Linked DNA regions of Saccharomyces cerevisiae S288C. The gene in region 2 interacts genetically with the main gene of each other region. Each region holds a gene or a part of one and is shown on either strand. Other genes may lie near its edges.

Region 1 (4,292 bases), on a different chromosome or scaffold from region 2:
TATATAATTCTGTTTTTTTGTCTAAAAAAGGTAAACTATATATAACAAACACAGTATAGAAACACAATATATCGGTCATTGGGTGAGTTTAAGCATTAGCAGCAATGGCTTGCTTAATAGCCGCTGGGTTGGCACCAACAACCTTTGCAACTTCCTTACCGTTCTTGAATAGAAGCAAAGTTGGCATAGCGGAAACTTCATTCTTTTGTGCAACATCACCCAATTCATCGACATCCAATTTATAGAAATCAGCTTGTGGGTATTGTTCAGAGAATTTTTCAATCATTGGAGCAATCATTTTACATGGACCGCACCAAGTGGCGTAGAAATCTACGACAACTAGCTTGTCTTGAGCAATTGCAGAGTCGAATTCGCTGGCAGTTTTGAATTGAGTAACCATTATTTGTATCGAGGTGTCTAGTCTTCTATTACACTAATGCAGTTTCAGGGTTTTGGAAACCACACTGTTTAAACAGTGTTCCTTAATCAAGGATACCTCTTTTTTTTTCCTTGGTTCCACTAATTCATCGGTTTTTTTTTTGGAAGACATCTTTTCCAACGAAAAGAATATACATATCGTTTAAGAGAAATTCTCCAAATTTGTAAAGAAGCGGACCCAGACTTAAGCCTAACCAGGCCAATTCAACAGACTGTCGGCAACTTCTTGTCTGGTCTTTCCATGGTAAGTGACAGTGCAGTAATAATATGAACCAATTTATTTTTCGTTACATAAAAATGCTTATAAAACTTTAACTAATAATTAGAGATTAAATCGCTTATTGCTTAGCGTTGGTAGCAGCAGTCAACTTAGCTTGTTCAACCAAGTTTTGTGGAGCATCGAAGACTGGCAACATGATTTCAATCATTCTGATCTTAGAGTTGTCGTTGAAAGACTTGTCTTGGGTCAACTTGTCCCATTCACCGGTGGTAGCGACTCTGTGGGTTTCATAGTCCTTAGCACCGAAAGTTGGCAACAAGGATAGGTGGTCCCAACCTTGAATTTCGTTGTATTGAGCCTTTGGACCGTGAATCAACTTTTCAATGGTGTAACCATCGTTGTTCAAGACGAACAAGTATGGCTTCAAGCCCCATCTGATCATGGTGGAGATTTCTTGAACAGTCAATTGCAAAGAACCGTCACCAATGAATAAGATAACTCTCTTCTTTGGATCAATTTCTTCAGCAGCGAAAGCAGCACCCAAGGTAGCACCAGTGGTGAAACCAATGGAACCCCATAAGACTTGAGAGATACCGTAGGTGTTGTTTGGGAAAGTGGTTTGGTTGATACCGAAAGCGGAGGTACCGGTTTCAGCAATGACAACATCACCTTCTTGCAAGAAGTTACCCAATTGGTTCCACATCCATTCTTGCTTCAATGGGGTAGAAGCTGGGACAGCAGCGTTAGCTGGAGTTCTAGCTGGGACAGCAACTGGCTTGTAACCCTTAGCGGCGTCAGCAATAGTGGTCAACAACTTTTGCAAAACGAATTTCATTTGGACACCTGGGAAAGTGGCGTTTCTGATCTTCATGTGGTCGGAGTGGAATTCGACAATGTTCTTGGTCTTGTAAGAGTAAGAGAAAGAACCGGTGTTGAAATCAGACAACAAAGCACCGACAGACAAAATCAAGTCAGCAGATTCAACGGCTTCCTTAACTTCTGGCTTGGACAAGGTACCGACGTAAACACCACCGTATCTTGGGTGTTGTTCGTCAATGGAACCCTTACCCATTGGGGTGACGAAAGCTGGGAATTGAGTCAAGTCAATCAACTTCTTAGTTTCAGCCTTGACGTCGTGTCTGGAACAACAAGCATCAGCCAAGATAACTGGGTTCTTAGCATCCTTGACCAAAGCCAAGATGGTGTCAATGACTTCCTTTTCGGATTCAGCATCGTTTGGCTTCAAAGACATGTCAATTGGAGTTTGCAACAACTTAGCTGGGACGTTCAAGTCGACCAAGTTAGCTGGCAAACCTAAGTAGACTGGTCTTTGGGTGACGTAAGTGGTTCTGATACATCTGTCAATTTCAGCTGGGGCGGTAGCAATGTCAGTGATCATAGCAGTGGTTTCAGAAATGTTGGCAGACATTCTGTGGAAAACAGTGAAGTCACCGTTACCCAAGGTGTGGTGCAACAACAATTGCTTAGCTTGAGCAGAGATGGATGGGACACCAACAACGTGCAAAACACCGACGTGTTCAGCGTAAGAACCGGCAATACCGTTCAAAGCAGACAATTCACCGACACCGAAGGTGGTGATGATACAAGACATACCCTTGATACGAGCGTAACCATCAGCGGCGTAAGCAGCGTTCAATTCGTTGGCGTTACCAGCCCATCTCATACCTTCAACTTCGTAGATCTTGTCCAACAAGGACAAGTTGAAGTCACCTGGCAAACCGAAAACGGTGTTAACGTTGACTTGCTTTAATCTTTCGAACAAATATTTACCCAAAGTAATTTCAGACATTTTGATTGATTTGACTGTGTTATTTTGCGTGAGGTTATGAGTAGAAAATAATAATTGAGAAAGGAATATGACAAGAAATATGAAAATAAAGGGAACAAACCCAAATCTGATTGCAAGGAGAGTGAAAGAGCCTTGTTTATATATTTTTTTTTCCTATGTTCAACGAGGACAGCTAGGTTTATGCAAAAATGTGCCATCACCATAAGCTGATTCAAATGAGCTAAAAAAAAAATAGTTAGAAAATAAGGTGGTGTTGAACGATAGCAAGTAGATCAAGACACCGTCTAACAGAAAAAGGGGCAGCGGACAATATTATGCAATTATGAAGAAAAGTACTCAAAGGGTCGGAAAAATATTCAAACGATATTTGCATAAAATCCTCAATTGATTGATTATTCCATAGTAAAATACCGTAACAACACAAAATTGTTCTCAAATTCATAAATTATTCATTTTTTCCACGAGCCTCATCACACGAAAAGTCAGAAGAGCATACATAATCTTTTAAATGCATAGGTTATGCATTTTGCAAATGCCACCAGGCAACAAAAATATGCGTTTAGCGGGCGGAATCGGGAAGGAAGCCGGAACCACCAAAAACTGGAAGCTACGTTTTTAAGGAAGGTATGGGTGCAGTGTGCTTATCTCAAGAAATATTAGTTATGATATAAGGTGTTGAAGTTTAGAGATAGGTAAATAAACGCGGGGTGTGTTTATTACATGAAGAAGAAGTTAGTTTCTGCCTTGCTTGTTTATCTTGCACATCACATCAGCGGAACATATGCTCACCCAGTCGCATGTTGTTACCCTCATGAAACATGTATGAGATATTACTTTGAATAGGTTACTTGCATGCATTTCGGCGTGCGGGTACCACCTCTTTGCATGAGCTTGTTCCTTTTTCAAGTTGAAGACTATATATTTTATTGAGTTTATGTTATGGGGAGGCTACCCTTTACGTCCTGGTTGTCCCTTCCCGCCTTGATTTGGCCTTCATTTTTTCAATTCTGGCCTTTAGGGTAGATGTCACTGCAGCGGCACGTTTATAACTTTCTTCTGAGGCAAAACTATCGTTGAAATCGATATCCAAATCGTCGGAGACACTGCTCACTCCAGTGCCGTTTTTTCTGTACGGCCGTATGTTAAGAGAGTTTACGCGGTGCGGCAGGTCGCCGATGGACTCGCTTGATCTTCTTTCATAGTTGACGTCCTCTTTCCTTCTGACATCTTCCTCCTCCTTAAATGGCAAAGCGGAAGATAAAGATTTTACCCCATAGTTGCTTGACACGGTGGAAGAAGGTATGGAGTATGATGAAATCGTACCCATCGATTGCAAGTTTGTATCATTTCTTTTCTTATTTCTATCCAATTCGATCTCCATGTTTCTAAGCTCGTTTTCTAGTGACAGTACTCTATCAGACAGCTTATTGACATCAATCTCCTTGGATCTTAATTGAATGTTCTTTTCGTTCAATTTAGACTGCGCTTCCTTTAGTTGCTCTCTTAGCATTTCGTTTTCTTTAATCATTTCGATCTTATAATTTTCTGTATTATTCATCTTTTCCAATAGGCTTTGTCTTTCTTTGGTCCATATCATCTCATCATTTTGTAGTTTTTGCAGTCTGTACTTGTATTCTTCAATCAACTTTTCATTCTTGTCAGTGCTATTAGCTACTACGTTTTTTGGCGTTGCCAAAGACTTAGACGTCAACAGGACCCTCGATTTATTGTTAGCAGCTACCATTGATGGTTTTGATGCGGAGGCTACTGACCCTATTGGGTTCACTTTACTTTTGTTATCATTTCTCAGCGGTGAAGATGCCA
Region 2 (5,421 bases):
CGGAAGCTGCTCTAAACAAGTCTTTGAAAAGACTAGGCTTGGATTATGTTGACCTATATCTGATGCATTGGCCAGTGCCTTTGAAAACCGACAGAGTTACTGATGGTAACGTTCTGTGCATTCCAACATTAGAAGATGGCACTGTTGACATCGATACTAAGGAATGGAATTTTATCAAGACGTGGGAGTTGATGCAAGAGTTGCCAAAGACGGGCAAAACTAAAGCCGTTGGTGTCTCTAATTTTTCTATTAACAACATTAAAGAATTATTAGAATCTCCAAATAACAAGGTGGTACCAGCTACTAATCAAATTGAAATTCATCCATTGCTACCACAAGACGAATTGATTGCCTTTTGTAAGGAAAAGGGTATTGTTGTTGAAGCCTACTCACCATTTGGGAGTGCTAATGCTCCTTTACTAAAAGAGCAAGCAATTATTGATATGGCTAAAAAGCACGGCGTTGAGCCAGCACAGCTTATTATCAGTTGGAGTATTCAAAGAGGCTACGTTGTTCTGGCCAAATCGGTTAATCCTGAAAGAATTGTATCCAATTTTAAGATTTTCACTCTGCCTGAGGATGATTTCAAGACTATTAGTAACCTATCCAAAGTGCATGGTACAAAGAGAGTCGTTGATATGAAGTGGGGATCCTTCCCAATTTTCCAATGAGCGCGCTACATTACAGTTAATGCCTCCAGCAACCTGTAGTGCTTCTTTAAACCGATCCGATACAGCTGAAACAAACATTGATTTTACTAATTTTCATATAATATATACACATATATCGAATGATAATGCAAAATATAATTTAATGAAATTGGAAATACTCGGAAAATTTATCATTATCCTTTTCTTCTTTTGAACGTAAACTTCGGACCGTCGTCATCGTCGTCGTCGCCATCACCGTTATTAGAAGCCCCAAAAGAGCCACGTGATCTACTAGTTGCGCTTCTACTGTGTCTACTTTGCTTGGAACATTCTTCTGACAAGTTTGGCCGTAAGTTCATTTCCTTCACCACAAAAAGATTACGATTATTTTCTCTGTGATTTAGTCTATCGCTTTTATCATCAATATCACCCAGATCATCTTCATCAGTAATAAAAATTTTGTTTTTTAGTGGTTGAACGCTGGCTGCAGTACCTGAACAACGAGAAAAAGAAAACGAATCTTCTTCTCCTTCATTTGAACTATCCTCATTCGTGAATCTGTTTAGAGCTTGAGATCTTTTCTGGATAGTGTTTGAGTTTATATTATCGGACATAAATGTATTCGATCCAAATCTTTCCATCTCCGTCAAAGCAAACATATCTTCGTTTTCTTCTGTGCCCCATTTTGTAGTTGTATCCTTTTTGGAGTATTTTTTTAACGGAACATAATTTCTAGTGATTAAAAAGGCTGCATTTCGTATAAAATCTGAGCTTTGAGTGTTATTTTTACCCTCTTCTTTGTGCGCCTTTGATTTTGGACGTACCTTGACAAAAGTCTTGAAATTCTTGCGTTTATGCCATTCTGGCTCCATTAGGCTATTTTCCCATTTTTCAGTTGTTCTGCTTGTTTTGTTTCCCTCACTATCAAATGATTTCCTCAGTAAATTGTTACTAGGTTCTACAATAGCCAAATTTTTTAGCTGATTAATAGCTTCCTCGCTCAACTCCTCATCCTTCAATTCAACAATGGTTGACTTAACTCTTTTGACCTCTCTATTTTTAGTTTCTTGAATAGCTTCAACAAATGCGTGCGGCGTACCAGATTTCTCTTTAATAGATAACTCTTTTACAGGTGACTTACAATTTTCTTGTAATGGAGATGAAATTTCTCGTGAATAATTAGAAAGTTTACGGATGTTTTTAGAGGGTTGCTCTATATTCTGGTGATGATTCACCCTAAAATTCTTAGTAACTTCAGCATCATCCATCGAATTCACAGCAGCTGTTTCATAGTCAGCGGAGTTCGAAGATATGGTTTGAGAGCCAATCCCTGCTACCTCCGGCAATGACGGCTGTGGTAACTTATGTGACTGTAGCGACTTATCCAACGAATCCTCACTCGTGTTCACAGTACCTAAGTTGGGGCTACTGACAATTATAGCACCAGGGCTACTGTGACCACTTTTCTTTCCAATATCTTCAGTCGGCTTTAGTGCGTTTTGAAGAAATGGGGCGTGCTTTTCATCTGCCTCTGCAATGTTGGGACTTGAAATGACAGTCTTTGATTCTGCGCCACAATTAAGTCTCTTAGCGTCAGTTAAAGACCTATTTTCTGATAGAGTCTTAGTACTCAAACCTCCAGCAAAAAAATCAAGACTATCGAGTGGTAGTACTCTACGTCTATTTAATTTTCGCTTCTTCGAGACTACTGGACTAGCTTCAACTTCAGGTGCACGAGATGTTTTCAAAATAGTAGACATTCCTTCAGAAATTTGATCAAATTTACCGTTATCTAGAGTTCTTGAAGATGCACCCTTCATATTAATCACTGCGCTTAAGGTGCCATCTATTATTGATGTTAACATCGTTTTGATAGTACATAGAATTTTCCCATTTTCTTTCTTATCTGTAGTTGTCAAAATCAGGTATTCTGTTGATGCTTCCAAGCTGTCAACATATTTATATAAACTATCAATGTTGTCAAATGCAAATAAATTTATATTGAACGTCCGCAGGAGAGATGATAGACGTGGTTCACTTTTGATAGTAGTTAACACTCTGATATTATTCAGCCTCATAAACTTCGAAAGCAAAATATTTGGATCAAAATCAAAAACATTGTACTCCGGATTACTAATCATATCGTTCCACATTTCATCAAATTTTAAATTAGTTTTAGATGTGGGAAGAAGAGTATTACACAATTCCATCAGAAACCGTGATTTTTTCATGGGTATAGTACTAACAAGGGCATACAATTCCCGTATGCTGTTGTCCTCGCTCTTTGGGTAATCGCTAATCATCAGATTAGCGGGAATATCATTAATAGAAATCTCAGTGGAGATACCATATTCAGAAAGCATCGTCCTGAATTGTGTCAAATGAGGAGGAATGTTCCAGACTTCATTTATCCATTCGAACTCTATACGAATAGGAGTTGTACCCAGTTCAATTATTGTGGACTTTAAAACGTCCGAGGCATTAATAGTAAATGTTTCGCCAACTTTCATGAATTTTTTATTTAATGATGTCAATTTACCCTTGTTAACTAAACACAGGCTACTGTGTTTCAGATCCGAACTATTATTGATTTCCCATTTGAATGTGATATGCTGTCTGGAAATACTTTTATCATTTTTAATTATCAGTGGGTTTTTACTTGATCTACCTATACTATAAGTTTTGAAGGCCTGAAGACAACATGATATAAAGCTAATAGAGCCATCTTCCAATGTATTCTGGTATCGTACTACCCACATAAATTTATAGTTATCACCTTCTCAGTATTGTTGCTCATCTATTACAAAATTCTGCTTATTTGGTTTACGCATTGCTTTTCATAGAAAAAAAGGGCTCCCCATATAAATTTAAGAAAAGTACTAATATTTAGCGTAGTTAACAACTTTACGAAAATGAAAATGAAATATTTCTCGGAAAAGTATTATATATTATACACGTCTCTACATTCCAAATAATTCTACGTTTCTTGGAGTAGTCTTAAGTTTAGTGATGACGATGGCGTTGTTAGTATCTATACCGATTTCAAATGATTCTGGTTTTGTACTGCTATAGTCAGAGATATTTGCCTCCACCAGCTTACAAATTGCTTCAATACAATAATGACACCATTCTACCGCAATTTGGGCATTATAGTTAAGTTCCTTTTTATTTGTAGGTAGACCTGGGTGATTGAATTTCTTACATAATAAGTCCCTTGAGTACCATTGAATGTCTAGTAATTGACCGCTATGACTGTCCCTCAAACCTATCATGATATCTGAGTTCGGTAATAAACCCGTCTGTACCCACGTTTTCAGAAGTTTTCTCCTATGATTGGAATTGTGCATTGATAATGGGGCAAAACACTTTAGTTCTGTGTTTGTCTCCGAAACAGGATTGAATGCATCCATTTCGCAGCGAATTAAAAGACCAATTTCTTCTGAAAGTTTACTCTCTACAAGAGAAAAAATAGGACATTTAGAGCCAGTTAAATCAGCGACTTTGGAATTTTCGGTTACCCAATTTTCAAATTCAAATCCTGAATAGCAAATTTTCTTCATATTTGGATCATTTGAATAAATGCCCTCTTTGGACATTTGAGAATCTTTTTTTACATTTCTGCAAAATGAAAGAAGGCCCGCCCCCATATAAGTTACAATTAGTGACGTTTGTCTATTTCGCCTGTTAAAGAGATGCATAGTCAAATCTACGATATGATGTCTTGTGGTTACAACAGTAAATTTCTTGCCGATCTTAAAATCCTTACCAGGATTATCTAGTATCCAGTTCTCAATGTATGAAAAACACGGTGATACACTATCTAATTCGGATATTGTCATGGGAACGAACTCATCAATATTAGCAAATAAGTCATGGCCTAAATACGGGACTTTCCGCTTTTTTGCCTCAAGAAGCGAGCTTTCATACAATTCAGCAATACTTTCTTTCAAATTTGGTATAAGGTCTTTGCGTAGGATTGTATAAGCCCGGCCATTGGTAAACAGAGCTACTTCTTTACTTTCATGAAATATATCTCTTGGTGGTTTCGTCAAAAAATTGTGCATACCAGTATGCAGAAAAGACGTATATGGGATACATATAAGTTTCGGACGTCTCTTTCTATAATTGTCTCTCTGTTGTGAAGGCTTCCTTGACGAAGATGAATCAGAAGTAGTTTTCTCTTTGCATAATTTACTTTGGTGTCCTCTCTCGAGATTGGGCACAGTAAGCAAATTTATACCTTCTAAATCTTTGGCCAATCCAAGAACAGCATCTTGTTCAGTTGACATAACTGAGTTTGGCTAGAAAGAAAACTTTGACATAAAATCATCGATACCTACAACTGGCGCTGTAATGCAACAATGCCATTATAAAAGTAAAACATGCTGCGAAAATTGCGGAAAAACTGGAAAAATCAATAGTGGGGTAATCCCAGTTAGTTTGACACAATAATTTGGTGATTTTGGTGGAATAATCATTATTTGTGAGGATACACCAACGAAAAGAACCTTTTGTGGTAGTATGGTCCAACAATTGTATTTGCAGGTTGGTACTAACAACCTCTATAAGTAGACGATACAAGAGTGATCATATGGTAGGACACTCAGCTCAGCACAGATCAAAAAGCAGCTTAGTGTCTCACCTACTAATACTACTTATCTTTATAACGATTATTATTGAAATGTGTTTATATAATAAAATTTTTAAGAACCAAAGGTCGGATGATATTAGAGACAACTTTAACAATGGCGGACATCGAGTTCCCAGTAAT
Region 3 (4,385 bases), on a different chromosome or scaffold from region 2:
ACCAAACGCCTATATTGAGCAAGTAGAAGAACATGAGGAACTGAGGTTGCATGCAAGGAAACCAATAAAGAAGGGGGAACAAATACGTATTACGTACGTCAATCCCTTACATGGGGTGAGGTTGAGGCGTAGGGAATTAAGAGTTAACTGGGGCTTCTTATGCCAGTGTGACCGCTGTCAAAATGAACTATCTACATTTGAAAGAGTTCCAAATCTAGAGAAAAAGAATGCGGATGCTAATTTAGGAGTAGAAAAAATAGATTCCAATGATAGTAGTGAAGATGGCTCTAAGAAATCAACTGGTAATCGTAAATCTTCCATGAGAGAGGCCCAGCCAGATTTAAAAGAAATACTGAAGAATGGAAAAGAATTTGAATTAGACATACCAGAAACTGTTGATACACAAGGGAATGTAAGAAAAACCTCAGTCAGATTCGATTCAAACGTTTCGGTCGCAGTGGATGAAAGATAAGAGATAAACGCATACTAAATTACTGTGTCTGTTATTGTTTTTGGCTATATATATATATATATATATATATATATAGTAAATATAAGAAAAACAAAGAAAAAAGAAATGAGAGTGAATTTGAGAGCGGCAGAAAGAAATAAAATTCAAACATTTTGATGTAGATAACTGGAAATAACTGAAGGGGATAAAATATTGAACGAAAAGAAAATGATAATCCTCCAAGATCACATAATAAATATAAAGAAACTCCTCAGGAATACAGAATGTCCTCTGCTAACTTAGACGCAAGGCTATTTGTAAAATTTTATGATAGCTGGTTTTCTTGAAGTGTAGATTGTGGTAATTGCGGAGTGGAACCCATTGAGGAATGTGGTACAGTGTTGATTTCATGTTCCAAATTCGGTATGGCTACGTCTGACCTAGCATTAGCAATGGCGTTGTGATGCTGCTGCTGCTGCTGAGCATGGAAAATTTGATGCTGCTGTTCTTGTTGACCTTGTTGAACATGCTGTGCAGAAGATATAGAGGCACCTGGGGTAACAGGGGTAGTAGTTGACGGATTATCTTGTGGTAACATGGCTAACGACTGTTCATTAATCGTATTAGGATTCGAATTAGCAGTATTGGTGTTGGAATGAGTTTGTGGCGAAGAGTTGCGAGGTGGTAATTGCTGTTCGCATAAAGGAATACGGTCCTTTAGATAACGTATTAAAATTGAGTGTAAATCATCCCTCGTGAATGGTTTGGCCAAGATATCATTCATTCCATGTTGTAAGTATGTGATCAAGTCTTGATTCATAATGTTACCTGTCATGGCAATGATGGGAGTCTCATTATCAAAACTTCTGACAATGGATGTCGCTGTGGCACCATCTAGGTTTGGCATAACAATGTCCATTAAAACCAAATCATACCTATACTTCTCTAGTGTTGAGATAGCTGAAAGACCGTCGCTGACAACTTGGACAGTACAGCCATATTTCCGTAAAAATTTTGAACACAACTGTATAGACACTGCGTCATCTTCCACCAACAGTACATGGAAACCTTTTCGTAGCGTGACTGTGTTATTTTGAGCATTTGGTGTTAGGCTATTCTGATCGGGTAAATTAGGTAGTTGTAAGGAAACTGTAGATGTTGCCGGAGAAGCATTGTTGGTGTTGTTGTTGCTTTGGATAGCTGTTGTTGTTGCTGGGTTGGTATTACCAGTTGGGTTACGGTTTCCATTGTCGCCAAATATTGGCACTTCAATACCATTATTTGCCAAAGTGGAACACAGAGTGTTGAAGTTGTTGAGTAAATTTTCATTTATGGTCTTGAATGTTATCAAACTTTCGATAACCGTATTGTATTTCGAGTTCAACTTTTGTAGTTCTACTTTAGTAGCATAACTCTCCATTTTGGACATATCCAACTCCTTTTGTAGTTTGTCTACTCGCCTTCTTAGATTTCCAAATGCATCTTTACTTACGGTATTGCTTAACAACAGCTCTGTGGTGGATTCATTCAAAAGAGACCCAGAAGGATTGTTGGGGTTAGTGCCTTCACTATTGAAATGCAAAAGAGCCTTTTGAGATTCATCCAAAAGCACTTTCCTTTGCGCCGGAATTTTCCTTTTGATGTTATCGAGACCTTTTCCGTAATGGACTCTAAATTCTGGATGCTGAAACTCCCAACTTTGTTCGCCATATTTACATCTCTGTCTTTCCTCGGGACTTCTCTTAACCTTGTGAAAGTCATACTTGTTTAGTTGCCTTACAAAAGATGCAAAATTTGAATGTTTGAAGTGATTAGGCAATATATGCGTAGTGAACTTTCCTGTGTCCAAAACGACGAAACTTTTGCCGTTCTCAGTCCAAGTTACAATGTCAGGATATTCATTGTTTTCCAGTATCCTGAACAGTTTTCTTACGAACTCATTTGCTGGAGCCTTTGCTCCCGCATTAGCACTGCTGATATTTGTGTTTCCAGCTGGTTGTTGAACGTTATTAGTCTTGTTGTTAATGTGCAGCATGTCAGAAGAGTTGTTTGGCTGCATCGTGTTCATCAGTCGAGGCCCGCTCTGCAACAAGTCCATTCCTAAAAGGTCTGCAGTCGAACTGTTCTCGGTGGTGTTATTATTGCTATCGCCGGTGGTTTTATTGACGTTGCTATTTATGGTGGAAAAGCTCATAGTGGATATCAAAAGTAAGCAACGAAAAAATAGGAATAAGAATAATGGAAACAAAGAGAGGATAAAAAAACTTCTATAACAGTCCTTTAATAATACAGCAATTTCGTTGCTTTTTTGTTGGTCTTGGAAAAAACAGAATGTCCTCTAATGAGCGAGTTAAATATATGACCCAAACAAAAGCAGCAAGCCTAGGTAAGATGTTGGAAGATAGTAAGGTGACCAGGGATATCTGTGTAATGTTAGTAAAACTTTGACAAATGTTTCAGATCCTGGAAGCACTTTCAATCTTGTCACATTCGATGGGATGACAGTTAAGCTCAGTAAAGCTGACCACATTTTGCTCATAGTTAAAGAAAGAAAAAATTCAGAATTTCGGAAAATCCATGTACGCGCATCGATGAGCCCTGCCCTCACTTATGGCATCCCTATTATAGCAAAACCCTGCTTATACTTGTGTTAGCCCTACTTTTAATCGACTTTAAACCTATGCATTTAAGAAAAACTTTTTTTTTTTTTTTTTCGGATGATATAACCGACCTATAATTTCCGAACCGACTTTGGGAAATCACAGCGAAGCGTTTACTTAAGCCCTGATTATATATAGATGAGGGGTAAATATGTCAAAGTACAATGGAATGGTGAGGTATAAGCAGTGATTATGAGACGTGATAAACTAGAAATTTGCAGGAACAATTATTCATTTTTTGGAGTTTAAATAAAACGAAAATACATACATACTTTACATATATAAATAGAAGAAATGTTTCGATAAAGTGGGAAAAACGATTAGAAGATACAAATTAATAATAGAAGTAGAAATAAAAGATAGAAAAATTAGAAAAAAATAAAAAGAAAAGGAAAAGAAGAGGAAGGGCAAGAGGAGCGATTGAGAAATCATATTTCGAATCTTCCACTGACAAATTCGTCATCCATGTGTTGGTCGCCGTCGAAGTCCATCTGCGAATGGCTGTTGTTCATATTTTTCTCTTGGTTGAATCCATCATTGATGTCCTCGTCCCCGTCATCATCGATGACATCTTCGTCTGGAGGTAAGTTTGGATTTCCCGGGATAAAGGAACCAGGTTCCATAAAGTACGAGTTTTGTAGGAATTTTCTGTTGTTATTAACGTGTTCATCGATGGCGGACTCATCAACAAAGGTGAAACCAGCAAACTTTGCTTGCATGGCTGGAGATAGCGGGGTAGCAGTCATCATCGGCTGGTGCTTGTTCATGTATGAAGTTGAAGCTGTTGTGAACTCTGGGTCAAAATTCGAGGTATCCGTCTCCGAGACTAGGTGAGGTTTGAAAGGTGGTGGAATTTTTTTCTGCTTCAAGGCCTCCCAGTCGATATCTGCGAAAAATGGATGAGCTCGTAGTTCTCTTCCATCATCAATGGCACCGAGTCTATGTTTGGGGTTTCTGTTTAGTAAACCCTTTACAAAAGACCTCCCCTCTTGTGACAGTACGTCTCTGGGGAATTTGACTTTACCAAAGGCAATTTTTTGGTACATTTTTTGATTATTTTCCGCAAAGAAAGGGGACCAACCACAACACATTTCAAATATCAAAACACCTAGAGACCAGAAATCGACCATTTTGGTGTAGCCGGTTTCGTCCAGTAACAATTCTGGTGCCAGGTATTCCGTGGTGCCGCAAAATGTGTTTGTTCTATCCTTCAAGTCAGCTTTAGAAAGACCAAAATCGCAAAGAGCGATGTTACCGTTGGCATCGAGTAGAAT

The links. A genetic interaction does not mean that the proteins touch.
Region 1: mutations in XRS2 (region 2) and PDC1 together harm fitness more than expected from each alone (negative genetic interaction), as found in Saccharomyces cerevisiae (2 studies listed by BioGRID).
Region 3: mutations in XRS2 (region 2) and SKN7 together harm fitness more than expected from each alone (negative genetic interaction), as found in Saccharomyces cerevisiae (3 studies listed by BioGRID, with this or other methods).

Annotation. Positions count from the first base shown.
Region 1 is NC_001144.5:231,614-235,905, forward strand, and holds PDC1 (indolepyruvate decarboxylase 1), read right to left. Parts: upstream 2,469-4,292; coding exon 777-2,468; downstream 1-776. Other genes in the region: thioredoxin TRX1, read right to left, coding at 89-400; STU2 (Stu2p), read right to left, coding at 3,424-4,292. UniProt on the Saccharomyces cerevisiae protein: Major of three pyruvate decarboxylases (PDC1, PDC5, PDC6) implicated in the nonoxidative conversion of pyruvate to acetaldehyde and carbon dioxide during alcoholic fermentation.
Region 2 is NC_001136.10:1,214,172-1,219,592, forward strand, and holds XRS2 (Xrs2p), read right to left. Parts: upstream 3,410-5,421; coding exon 845-3,409; downstream 1-844. Other genes in the region: trifunctional aldehyde reductase/carbonyl reductase (NADPH)/glucose 1-dehydrogenase (NADP(+)) YPR1, read left to right, coding at 1-671; DXO1 (Dxo1p), read right to left, coding at 3,611-4,939; CTS2 (putative chitinase), read left to right, coding at 5,242-5,421. UniProt on the Saccharomyces cerevisiae protein: Component of the MRN complex, which plays a central role in double-strand break (DSB) repair, DNA recombination, maintenance of telomere integrity and meiosis.
Region 3 is NC_001140.6:510,992-515,376, reverse strand, and holds SKN7 (kinase-regulated stress-responsive transcription factor SKN7), read right to left. Parts: upstream 2,646-4,385; coding exon 777-2,645; downstream 1-776. Other genes in the region: SET5 (S-adenosylmethionine-dependent methyltransferase), read left to right, coding at 1-472; serine/threonine protein kinase SCH9, read right to left, coding at 3,540-4,385. UniProt on the Saccharomyces cerevisiae protein: Transcription factor that is part of a SLN1-YPD1-SKN7 two-component regulatory system, which controls gene expression in response to changes in the osmolarity of the extracellular environment.